2 linked regions of the Drosophila melanogaster genome follow. The protein of the gene in region 2 interacts with the protein of the main gene of each other region in a pairwise test. Each region holds a gene or a part of one and is shown on either strand. Other genes may lie near its edges.

Evidence for each region. Proteins that work in one complex are often made in the same cells at the same time.
Region 1: the proteins of Wbp2 (region 2) and CG3529 interact in a two-hybrid assay, tested with the Drosophila melanogaster proteins (one large-scale study listed by BioGRID).

What each region holds. Positions count from the first base shown.
Region 1 is NT_037436.4:9,444,461-9,451,285, reverse strand, and holds CG3529 (uncharacterized protein), read right to left. Parts: upstream 4,423-6,825; 5' UTR 4,291-4,422; coding exon 4,224-4,290; intron 2,899-4,223; coding exon 2,447-2,898; intron 2,386-2,446; coding exon 1,658-2,385; intron 1,598-1,657; coding exon 1,462-1,597; intron 1,269-1,461; coding exon 1,218-1,268; intron 1,055-1,217; coding exon 857-1,054; 3' UTR 501-856; downstream 1-500. Other genes in the region: CG3448 (uncharacterized protein), read left to right, coding at 1-462; Srg3 (Sting-regulated gene 3), read right to left, coding at 5,001-5,584.
Region 2 is NT_037436.4:12,847,962-12,854,172, reverse strand, and holds Wbp2 (WW domain binding protein 2), read right to left. Parts: upstream 4,009-6,211; 5' UTR 3,898-4,008; coding exon 3,842-3,897; intron 3,676-3,841; coding exon 3,376-3,675; intron 3,259-3,375; coding exon 3,020-3,258; intron 2,865-3,019; coding exon 2,451-2,864; intron 2,368-2,450; coding exon of another isoform or gene 2,348-2,367; exon of another isoform or gene 2,119-2,347; intron 1,942-2,118; coding exon of another isoform or gene 1,937-1,941; exon of another isoform or gene 1,896-1,936; intron 1,747-1,895; coding exon of another isoform or gene 1,661-1,746; exon of another isoform or gene 1,645-1,660; intron 1,558-1,644; coding exon 1,457-1,557; intron 1,393-1,456; coding exon 1,348-1,392; 3' UTR 1,004-1,347; downstream 1-1,003. Other genes in the region: Ent3 (equilibrative nucleoside transporter 3), read right to left, coding at 1-124; CG10948 (uncharacterized protein), read left to right, coding at 4,138-4,141, 4,434-5,015, 5,078-5,803.

The sequences.
Region 1 (6,825 bases), 3.4 Mb from region 2:
CACATGGGACTCCAAGGATTTGATTATGAAATATCCATGGAAGATGTCGAAAAACCAGCGTTCAAAGTGTACAAATGCGAAGGATACGAAACGCTGTACTTGGATGTTCCGCTTAGAAAAGTCTCCAACTGCTACCAGATGCTGGATGCAGCCATCGAAGCTGGTCAGCAGAAGCCACAAGCAGCTCCAGCCACCGAATCCGACGCCCAGACAACCGCATCCCTGGCTGAATATGAAAAGTATGTGAGGGACAGCAAGCTGAAGGAGGAGGAACTTCTCAAGAAATTCCTGCTGCTTTTGAACAGCAAAAAGGCCCACATCCGGGATTTAGAGAGTCAGTTGGAAAAACGATCCGGGAAAGTATCAAGAGCAAAGAATAATCAAAGGATTTTTTCTGATGACGAGGACGATGCCTACGGAGCAGCTACTCAAGTCATGAATATAGATAACGACTCAGATTAAGCCCCTTAGTAATATAAATATTTAAACAAAGACGAAATCGGTATGTGCTTGAAATGTATTTCCATTTTGTTTTAGTTTTTCTTTTCGATTTTGTAAAATAAATTAGCTTTATAATGTATGTATAAATAAACAACAAATAGACTTGTAACGTAATACATTAAATTACCATCAATGTGTAGACGTGGCTTACAATTAGACCAACAAAAGATCGCTTGTTTTTTTGGAATATAATCAATAGTTATCGTTGCTGTTTTTGTAAAAAATAAAAGCATTTTACATAAAGTGTTACTATGTATCTGCTATCAAATAGACGTTACGGATAAGTATGTTAGGGTGTGTATAACATTTGAAAGAGTAAACAATTAGAGCCGATGATGGTGCTGGCGGAGATCACTCAGAGCGCGAGCAGATCCTCTTCGGCGCCCGGTTTCTTTGGTGTCTTTCGTAAGCTATCGGCTCCTGCCGATCCTGTCGTGGCACTGGCGGCGGAGTTCGATGCACTGATCGTTGGAAGATTCTCGGCGGCAGCGGCTCTCTCCTCTAGGAATTTGTCAAACTCCGAGCTGGTCAGCTCCTCAATTCCCTCGATGTGCTGTGTGGTGGAAACAAATGACTCATTAGTCATATTAAGTACTCGAAAATGGATGACAGAAGCTAAGAAGCAAAGGAATAGTATGTAAATCGAGAAACTGAAGCCGAGTGCATGGTAAGATGAGCTTAGAAAAAGACAAAATGCTATTCGAATGGCTACTTACTGAGCTGCCCAACCACGCCTCCATCTCGTCGATCTCATTCTCTTTCGTCGACTGTGTGTGGGCGCCAACCGAACAACAAAACGAAACGAAAACCAAACGCAATTTGCATAGAACAAAAAAGAACCAAAACATATTTTCAAATTTAGACACATAGTGTAAATCAATGGCGAAAACGAGGTCAAAAGGTAAGGGAACAAATCGAACGCCATTAGTTAGACCGGCTGTCCGGCGGCTAGTTACTCACTTTACTTACCACCGGCGGTTCGCCGGCTGAGCGCTGTGCCTGCTGCGGTTGATTTGGTTTGTAAGGCGAGGCGGTGGCAGTCACACTCCCAGCAGCAGCGTCCACCGAGGGAATGTCCCGCAGCAAGTCCGATTTACTAAAAAAAGAATTATTGTTAATACTTGATGAGCTCGATTGGAAAGCACTCTTTACTGACTGGTTGCCATCGGTGCGCGACTGTGCCAGCATATCGAATTCATCGGCAGGTCGTGCGCTCCTCTGCACCCCAATGGGTGCTCCACCACCCAGGCTGATCTGTCCCAAACTCTGTGGCAGTTGGGCTTCCTCGCTGCTTTCGATTAGATCGATCAGCAGTTGGTCACTTTGCGGCGTATTGCTCACGGCGGTAGTTGTGGGCGGAGGTGGTAGCGTAGCCACCGTGGTGGCTCCTGCTCCAGCTGCTCCCACACCGGGCAGGCCCATGGCTGCGCCCAGCACAGCCGAGGGCGAGGTAACACCAGCACCCTGGCCCTGCGAACGATTTTTCTCGTAACGCTGGTGGCGCAAGAACACATTGTTCAGCTCGTCATTGATGCGCAGGAACTCCGCGGTGAGCTCGTCGTCCTGGACACGTCCAATCAGATCCACGATGCGAGACTGCATCTCCTTGCAGGTCGAGGTGAGCTCATTGAGCAGGGCATAGTCATCGGGCGACTCCTGGCCGGGCTTCAGAACACTGAGCATCTCGCTGAGGATGGACATATTGTTGCTAACGATCTCCAGTTCGGAGCGCAGCTTAGCCGCTTGCTCGGGAGTCAAATGCAAAGGACCTGTGCTGGGTGGAGCTGCGGCTGCAGCTGCGGCGGCAGCAGCGGCAGCCATGTGTTGAGGCGAGATTGTGTGCTGCTGAGCGGCCACCAGCTGAGGGGGCATCTCGGGAACACTCTAAAAGGCATATGAAAGCATTTATTATGGTTAAAGTAAAGAGGATTCCTCAGCGACTCACCCTCTGTGGCGTGTAAATGGGTGCCATGGCATCCAGATCGTTGGCTGGAAACTCGATGCCCTTGTTTTTCAATTCCATGTACATCTGGGTGACGCCGTTGAGATCCGGTTGGTTCTTAAACGCATCCGCCCAGATTTGTATCAGACTGAGAACCTTCTCCTGCATGGCGGCTGGTGGATCGTTCTTGGGCCCAATCAGCTTGACCAGCTCGTTGATGAAGTCCTTCTGGGCCACCAGGACATGGAAGGCCTTGCCGCAGTTCTTCACGCATGTCTCCAGGACGGTCAGCGTGTACATCACCACCTGGTTGTTTTTGCCGGCGTTCTGGGAGAGGCGTTTGCGAATGGCACGCATAGCATCGCGTGCAGTGTCGGAGGATTCGTTGATCATGTCGCAGATCTCCATGTTGGCGGCCCAGTTCTCCGAGGCCAGGTTGGCATCGGTGGCGGCCTCTGAAAGGTGAGAAGGTAAGTATTAGTTGACACCTTAAGATCTTTTTAAATCTATCGTTCTTCCAGAAAAAAAAACTGCAACAATATTTCATGTAATATAAATACAAAAACAAAAAAGGTATCCCTATTTTTTTTTTTTAAATTTGTATCTTATTTCTGAAAACGCTCGTTACATTTTAATTATAATAATATATTTAATTATAATTCCAAGTAAATTGTGCGGTTTTTGATCCGAAAGATGTAATTATTTTTTTCGTTTTCTGTGTGAAAACCCAAGTAAACAATTTGCATTCCTTTGTTTGTTTTTATGGGCGGCTGAAACTGTGTTTTTTAACAGGTGGGCGAGCATTATCTTTCGTTTATAATTTAGGATCTACCAAGTGCAATGACTTGCTCGAATTAAAAATGCACAAAGCAATTTGTTTAAATCCAAAACGAAACCATTGCGCAAAGTGTATTTCTCAGATATCAGATATCGTAACACTGATATCCAACAGATATAGGAGATATGGGAAAAGCTAACCAACCGCAATACAATAACAAAATGTGAGCTCATAAAAAAAGCGAAGCAACAAATTAGTACGGCACTAATACATATGCACGATTGCACGTAAATGTGTGTATCTGTGTTTGTTGTGTGTGCAGCGGCAAATGGAAATTATGGCGAAAATGCGAGCCAAAGGGGAACACGAAATAAATTAACACATTTTTTTATGTAACCCAGCGGCCAGCGGCAACGATGACTAATTGCGATTACTAAGGGCGCAAAACAGGTGGCCGCCAGGAGGGGGTGAAGGGAAAACAGGCAATCAAACAATAAAAGAGCGCATCAATAACAATACTCTTTGTGTGCGTGCCAAAAGGTGAGCAATTTCATAAAGCATACCAACAAACATTTATCTGATTTGTCACACCTGCCTGTTGGAACCGCATACTCATATAAGGGTTAATCTTATCAGAGGCCCACCGTTGTTGCCACCGCCTTTCAAATCAAATCAGACCGCTTTGCCATAGTAATGGTCTGGCAACAACAAATGAGTATCGCTACATGGAAATGTGCGCGTGTGTGTGAGAGACCAACAACAAAACAAGAAAACAAGCAAACGCACGAAGAAAGTTGTGAAAATTCAATTTTCCAATGGCCCAGTCTGATTGGGACTGCCTTGAAGCGTCCTCTAATCAGATAACTATCAATGTAAATGCGTAAATATCAACGCATATGCGTTGTATTTGTGGAAAATATTACGCTTTAACCACATATACACACACCCCCGCTTCCGGTGGGTGTTTTTTTTACGCTGGAGGGGGGAGGGTGGTTTACTCACCTATGCGCTGGCCAACTGGAGTGGAGAAAACATTTCCCAAGGCGCCAACGTTGAAAAATGAAGCCATCGTGGAGAAGTTTCTTATTAATGCTCGCCGTTGGGTTGCAGTGCGGTTAAAATTGTTCTTTATTTACTTTTTGTTCACCTGGATGAAATGTTTATGCACTTGTCTACAGCAGAGTGACCATGGCTGGCCTCAGCGAAAAATACCCACAAAGAAATGCATTACAATAAGTGGGTAAATAGGAATAGGTTTTTTTCCAGGGCTGCAGCATTTTATTTCATTTTATTTAAAAGAATTATCCACAGTTTTTGAGATAATGACATAGTTATACCCGTTACTCGTAGAGTAAAAGGGTTTATTAGATTCGTTGAAAAGTATGTAACAGGCAGACCATATAAAGTATATATATTCTTGATCAGGATCAGTAGCCGAGTCGATCTGGCGATGTCCGCCTGTCTGTACGTTTGAACGTCGAGATCTCAGGAACTATTTAAGCTAGAATGTTTAGATTAAGCGTGCAGATTCCAGAGACATAGACGCAGCCCAAGATTGTTGACCCATGTTTCCATGACCACTCCAACGCCCACATTAGATTGTTCTTAGTTTTATTGTTCACCTTGCACCTTGCACCTTTTGGATTGTAATCACACCCACATCTTTAAACAATTTTAATTTTTTCTCATTTTATTCGCAATCCGACTAGCTGAGTAACGGGTACCTCATAGTCATGGTTGTTCACAGAGCGTGTTATGTATCTCAAAAACTTTGTAATTTCAAAGAGTTATTTCACAATTCATTCCACAGATTTCGTGGATAATGAATTTTCGATTGTTCAACCTTGCACCTGTCTCAAAAATGAGCTTTCCGTCAGCGGTCCTTCTGACGGTACCGCTGGCGGTCCCACTGATGGTTCCGCTGATGGTCCCGTTGATAGCCCCACGGACGGTCCCCTTGACGGTTCCGCTGACGGTCCCTTCGATGGTTCCGCTGCCGGTCGTGCTGACGGCCCCGTCGACGGTCCGGCTGATGGTCCCTTCGACGGTCCCGCTGAGGGTTCCGCTGAGGATCCCGCTGAGAGTCCCACTGAATGGCATTGGAACGAACTCGTTGATGACCAATCCAATGACGGTCGCGCTGACGGTCCCGCTGACGGTAGCGCTGACGGTCTGGCTGAGGGTCCCGCTGAAGGCTCCTCTAGCGTTCCCGCTGACTTTCCCGCTGACGTTCCCGCTGACGTTCCCGCTGACGTTCGCGCTGACGCTAACGCTCCTGCTGACGGGCACGTCGTCGGTCTCGCTGTCAGTGATCTCCATGTCGACGGCCCAGATTTCCGAGGACAGTTCATAGGATTCGTCCTCTGAAAGAAGAGAACGTAGGGTATATTAGTGAGTGAGGCTTTGAGACTTATATTTTGATAGTCCCGACTTGGTTAGTCGGCTAAACTTCTCTGTTCCAAGACCCATAATCTTAAGCCCATTTAGATCTAACTATAAGTTGCATGATTCTTACAGAATATTGTGTTCTGACTATAATAGTCATTATCCTATTATCTGTAATCTTTGCTCTCTGCCGCTCTTAAAGCAATCAATCAAATCAATCGGTGCATTATTCACAAATACGACGCAAAATTTGTTTTTGGTTAGATTAAGGAATATATGAGTTAGCGGTTCCAACAGGCTGATAGGACAAATCATATGCCTCGCACGTAGGGTATAAACTGAGAAGAAACGTGTTTTTCCCCGGAATTCTTTGCGACACATACAGTTTGTCAAGAAACTGTTTACACACTGTGAAATAAGTTGAATTTTTGACTTTAAAGCTAAAAATAAAGGGTTTTTTGCTTAATTAAACGCAATTTTTTTATAAAATATAATTAAACAATATTTATTTTACTTATAAATCAAAAAACAAATTAAAAATATTAAATATACAAGAAAATAAACAACAAATTCCAAGTTTACACACTTTTGAGACTGTCAAGAAACTCTTTACACATTTTGTTTTCCTACTTTGTTTTGTTCTTTTTCTTAGAACGAACTCGATTTTTCCGTTATTTTTGGCTTTACATTGCTTTTTACAACGCTTCTATTGAAATTTGTTGACTTTGCTTGTGAAATTTTGCTGATCAAACGTGCTTAAAGCGAATTATTAAATTTAATAAAATGCCTGGAAAGAGATTAACTTTTGAAGTTACCCAATTAATAAACTATAACCACCAGTTGGGAAAATCTTTTCCAGAATTAGTATAAATGTTTCCTGTATCCCGTAAGACCGTCTACAATGTTTTAAAAGGCTCGGAAAAAGAGGGCAGGCTTGAACCTAAGAGTGGTGGTGGGCGGAAAATTAAAATTAAAAAGCGTGTAGACCGCTTTATTATGCGAATAGTGATTGCGAACCCCCGAATCTCGGTCAGATCACTTGCTCTGGATATCAGGCAAGAATGTCACCTAACTGTGTCACACGAAACTGTGCGCCAAGTCATCCTACGCCATAGGTACTCTTCAAGAGTTGCAAGGAAAAACCCTTTGCTATCAGATGCCAATATTGAAAAGCGTCATTTATTCGCTATGAGCATGATGGATCATGCGGAAGAGTACT
Region 2 (6,211 bases):
CCGGACTGTCCATGCTGCCTGGACGCCTCAGGCCGGATCCGGTTGTGGAATGACTGCTCCTCGAACGCCCGGAACCACGTCCGTCCAGCGGCTCATAGGTGGTTTCCTGGCCACCAACATCCATGATGTTGTACTCTTATTTTATGCGACGATTTCCGCTGGCAAATCCTATTTAATTACTCCCTGTGGTTCTTGGACCTTGGCATTATTTTCCACTTTGGCCAACTTAGTGGGCGTGAGTTCTGCTCTGTTGTTTTGCCTGCCGTACTTACATACATATGTACATATAGGGTGCAAGTTCGTCGTTATACACAAATCGATAAACAAAAAACAAAAAACAGACACAAGTGGCTGAGCAATTAGCCACTTGGCATTTTTTTAACACCAACTATCATCTGATTTGGCGGTTACGCCCTTTAATTGAACTGAATTCAATAGCACATTCACTATTTACAAGATATATTTCAACCGCTTTTCAAGAGACATCTGCTTGCCATTCCTTGCCTGTCAAAGTCCTGGCACCGATTTCTCACCACGCCCGCCACTGCGCATGTGGCGTATGATTGATTTTCTACAACTGACCAAATCAGCCTGTTGTTGTCTAGTAGTCGGCTAACTGGAATTGAAGTCTACTTTTGAATGAACATCTTCTTCATTTTTGTTAGCATGACCGCATTCGAGGTGGCCTTAAATCCAAAGTGGAAAATTTATAGCGAAATATATTTTTACATTACAAGAATCTTGAATTTTTCCGAAAATTCATCCTTCTTAAAAAATACAGCAATTCGTATTTTTAAAAATACAGTTGATTTAATTTAAATTTTAAAATAAGATTTAAAGTGTTTACGTATATTATTGAATATACATAGCAGAGCAAACCAAAAGACGTGGATACTTCTATACCCAACGAGGTTACGAAAAAATCATTGATTTGAAAAGAATTGTCTGATCCCTGATCAATTCTCCGATGAACCCCATTAAAGCCAGATACTGAAATTGGATTACTTTTATATAATAAATTGTTTATATATTATAACGGATAAAATAGTACTGTTTTTCTCATATAACAACAAGTTGGTTAATGTTATGTTCATATATAAAATAATACAATTTATCAAGCCGAAAGAGCAAAATTCTAATTTTGTGACCAGAAATCAAAGCATATGAAGAATATGCTGCTTATGAAAGAATTTAATTAGCAACAATTCCAAGCAAATATTCCAACCAAGCACATTTGTAATGCCCGAAAACAACAATAATTTCGTGTAGAGTTTCATCAACGGAATGAGCAGTAATTACTTAGTTATTTAGCATTTCTTCGTAAGGGAATATAGTATGCAGCTTCTTTTAGTGATTTTTTTTCGATGCATCATCATAACTGGGTGGCAAGTTCTATTAGATAAGACACAAAAAAGAAGTTAGACATTTTTTCAATACAATGTTCCACATCGCTTACATTATAAGAAGGTGGTAAATCATTGTTGCCTGATCCACTGGGCCCGCCTTGGTTGTAGGGTGTGTTGTAAGCACTTGCTGCAGCTTCGGCTTCTTTGGAATCTGTTAAAATAGAAAACAATCCATTTTGGTAATAAATGTTCTCAAGCTCGATATACACAGCATAAAATTTACACCATTGCGATTCACCTCTTACAATTTATGTTTACGGTATCAAAGCTGGAACCAGCACAACACACATGGGTCTTTGAATTGGATAGAAATAATGATGGGTGCTGCCGAATCTGGCTACTATTGGTTCGCATTTTGTGGGTAATAAAGAAAAAGTTAAAGAAGAAACCATTAAATGTCACTAAATCAAATCGGATAGACTTAACTACTTGAAGACTCGGCTTTTGTTAGTAATTTGCTTTGGGTAACATTGAAACAATAAATCTTACTTGTCGGGATGGCTATTTGAGGTACAGTAGTTTGCTTTTAATTACACTGTAAAATAGGTCAAAAGATAAATGCTTTTTTTTAGATTCGGGAAATAATTTTGTTTTGATTAGTAATAGGTTAATCGTTATTTGGATATTAGGTGAGAAACCTGATAAGGGAACTCAAAAATGGGAAAAAAACAAATATAAACACTACCAAAAAAGGAATATTACACCGTCAAATGAATTATGCTAACAAATCATTTATTATTTGGACAAATTGAATAATTTTGTAAGTGAGAAAAATAAACAGAACGAATGCTTCTGAATGGTTTTTGGATGCCTCTTGAATACTTTGAGCGTCCGAAAGCAAAAGGTGGTTCATGATACTTCAATTAAATTCTTGATAACATTTTAGATCTTTAGATGTTTCGACTATTTTAAAGATGTTCATAATTTTCTTGTCCTTTTGCTCATATTTTTTTATCTTTTGCTAGAATAAAACCAATTTAGAAATGTGCATTGTGGGAGGGAAATGTTAAAAAAGTGATGAATGGGATGATGAGTTCTACTCACTTCCAGGGGGCAAGCTGAAGCCCATAAAGCTGGCTCCAGATGCGGCGGCTCCTCCAGCTGCTCCTGCTGCTTGTTGTCCGGGTGGCGGTGGTCCACCTGGATAGCCATTTGGATTTCCATTCGGTTGCTGAAATCCGGGGGTATTAAATCCGCCAGGAACATTGCCGTATCCACCATATGGCTGTGGACCATTGTACGTCTGAGCCGGAGCGGCGTACGGCGGCTGTGGTGGACAATTTGGGGCACATGAAGCGTACGGCGGAGGTTGGACATAGCCACCGGCCCATCCTTGTGGCCCATAGCCCGGCTGCTGTTGTTGCTGCTGCGGCGGCGGCGCTGAAAAACCATACCAATTGGGTTCATTCGACGACGGTGCCTGCGGCTGTTGCGGTGCTGGTTGGTGAGCAGGTGGTGCTAAGACGAAAAAGAGAGGAGTGCCCCATTGGGTTAAACGAAGCGAGTGCGTAGCGTGAATTTCGTGGGTAAGCCAGGTTGCCAATTCGCGTAGCCAGCGTGCCAAAACAAAAGCCGAGTATAGATTGGGTAAAGTGCACGTGCGTTTAACTTACCGATACCCGGATACGGCGGCGGATTGTCGCTCATATAGACCGTATTCGGCGCAGGGCCGCTGAATGCGTCATGCTGCGGCAGCCAGCCATAGTAGCCAGGTGGTGGCTGATATGCCGGCGGTGGTGCCTCATTCCAGGATCCAGCCGGCTGATATGGTGGCGGATCATCACCAGCCAGACCACCGCGGTGGTAGTTGTTCATCGCCGTCTTGGCGGAGCGCAGTAGAGCTTGACCATATCTATAAGAAATGGACTTGTTAATCAGAACATTATATATTCTCTTGAGTCTATTCAGTATTAAGACTTATCAAGAGATCCGTCTAATTAGTTTTAATTTAGGTGCACAATGCACTTACTCAATTGCGCCGCCTGCCTTGAAATGGAGCTTGAACTTGACCTCGCCCACGTAGTTTCCATTTGGCTGAGCGCGAACCTTTCCCTTGATGTAGTTGGCCCCGAAAACGGGCTGTTCGATTTCCACATCCGAAAGAGCAACAAACGGGGCACTGAACGACTGCATCGAATCCGAGGACTTCTTGCTATTGAAGATCATTCGGTGGGAGGTGAGATAAATCCTGCCACCTTTGGAGCCCTTGAAGATGGGATTGTCCTGACCGGAGAACTCCATGGAGACACTGTCGCTGTGGAGCAGTATGCTGAAAGTGTAAAAGCAGTTAATTTGTGTGCCATATTTCTATCTTATCGCTGGAACATAGGCTAATTTCCTTTCAAATCGCCAGCCACACGTCAGTGTTTACATTTATGACGTCAGGGATGTTCAGCATTTTCAGTGTTAATTAAAGGACTTTTCCGTTAACTTACTACTCTCCAGCATGGATGAGCACGCCATTGTTGGCGTGAGCCGTATTAACCGACATGTCTCTTTAATTTTCCAACTGTTTTGAGTCCACAAAAATTTGCAAAAATTTCATACAACTACGTTTTGTTTTTCTAGAAAACTGACGACAGCTGATGATTCATAGTGAAAAGTGTGGCAGCGCCGAAATTATCGGATATCGATACTCTTTTTAGGGTGACCAGTACGAGCAGTCACTCATCTCTAAATATAATTAGTTTTTTTTTATACATACCTGTCGTACAATTACTGGGGCGTTAATATGCGTAAGTGATAAGATAATGATTTTAAAAAGCCCACAAAATGTGTAGCAAAGAAAATGGAATAAATAGAAAGGTCTGGGAAATTAAGAAACAACAGTATTTGCGGTGAATTCGACTTTTATCAGCAGGTGGGACTTACGCCATTTTGGGCACTTGCCACCCCCCAGCTTTTATTTCCTTTTTTTACCTATCGAAAATTGAGGTGCTCAGCTGATTGGTTATTTTGTTTTGCTACCGGCTTCGTTTGGGTTGTTATCTCTTTTAAAGCAAATTACAAACTGTGTACATTTTGCAGTACCGCTCTTTGGGACCATGCCGAATGGCGTCAGTTTGCCAAATCACCCGAATTTCCTCAACCAATTGGCAGCTGCAATTTCCACGGCGGCCTCGAGCACATCTGTCGTGGGAAATCCCTCTTCGCCCCCCAAACAGATCCAGAATAAGATGGCAAAACAACAACAACAACCACAGGGCAGTGCGCCCATGGATCTGGAGAATGAGAACGAACACTCTGCGGATGTGAGCTCCTCGACGATGCACAAGGAACCCAAGTTGCAGGCCACATCCAACTCGCTCACTCTGCCCGATTCGACGCAACTATACCTGAATGGCTTGGTGCACACACCACCTGGATATCTGTATTTTCCGGCCACCCAAGCGGGTGGTGCTACTGCACCCGGCAATCCATCCTCGGCTGCAGGGGGATCCACGCCGGCAGCTTCAGCAAACAGCACCGCCAATGCGCAAATGCTCATGGATCCTACGGCCATGATGGCGGCGGCGATGCAACAAATGCAACAGATGCACTATGCAGCGGCAGCAGCAGCCGGAATGACCACAGAAACCGGAGCTGGACTAGAAGCAACTCTTAATGCGGGTAATGAAAGCAATACCAAATTGGAACCTTAAATAAACATTCTAATAAAAACATACTTTTAGATGGCGTTACACCAGCTGGCCTCAAGGAGGTGATCAAGACCAAGAACTGCATCCTGTTTCCACCTAATCCGAACGCACCTCCTCCCACAATAAGGGAGCGACCACCAGGATGCCGGACGGTGTTTGTGGGTGGACTGCCGGAAAACATAACCGAAGAAGTGATCCGGGAGATCTTCGAATCATGCGGCGAGATCACCACATTGCGCATGTCCAAGAAGAACTTTTGCCATATTCGCTACCGCCAAGAGGGTGCCATAGATAGGGCCATCTACCTATCCGGCTATAGATTGCGTATATCAGCGCTAAATGAACCTCCCAACTTTGGACGCCTGCATGTGGACTACGCACAGGCACGGGATGATCAGTATGATTACGAGTGTCGACAGAGACAGCATCAGAGGGAACAGCGTCATCGTGAGCGCATGTCGATGGACAGGATGCGATCGCAGTCGCCGCCACCAATACCGCACTACACGGATCACGAGGCTACTACTGTTGCGGAGCACCTACGCACCAACGAGACTTTTGTAAAGGCCATTCAAACGATTACCGCGTGGCTGGAGCGGGGAGATTGCACTAAGCGGAACGCCAATGTCTTCTATTCGATGATCCAGAGCACTCATGCCCATGTACGAAGACTCCATGCAGACAAACTGCAACTGGAGGAGGATCTAAAGAAGGCCAGAGACAGCTATCGCAACCAAATGGGCACCATGTCCACGCAATGTAAGTATTTCGGCCTTTCAGCCGGAAGATCAGCTTTCTTAGCTCTAGTCTAGACGGGAAACTAGGCGCCGATCCCACTTTGAAATCCTATTTTTCTGTTTACGTTGCGCCCGGGTTAGCCTTTTAGCGTCTGTATATCTGAACAATCTACCAGCGTACTACACATCCAAACACCTACACCTACACTGAAAACACACCATACCCATCCTACACAATATTTAGCAAATCTAGTCATCGAATTATTAAATGCCAAACTCCACATATGAAACTACCGTCTAAAATTTGCTCGCCAATGGTCGCTGGAGCAAGCCCAATGAATCCAAGCAGGATCAGGTAAAGACTAGCCGAAAAAGACGAAGCCCAAGGCCGCCGCACAGCAAAAGTCAGTGGATGAGGCGACAATCGAGA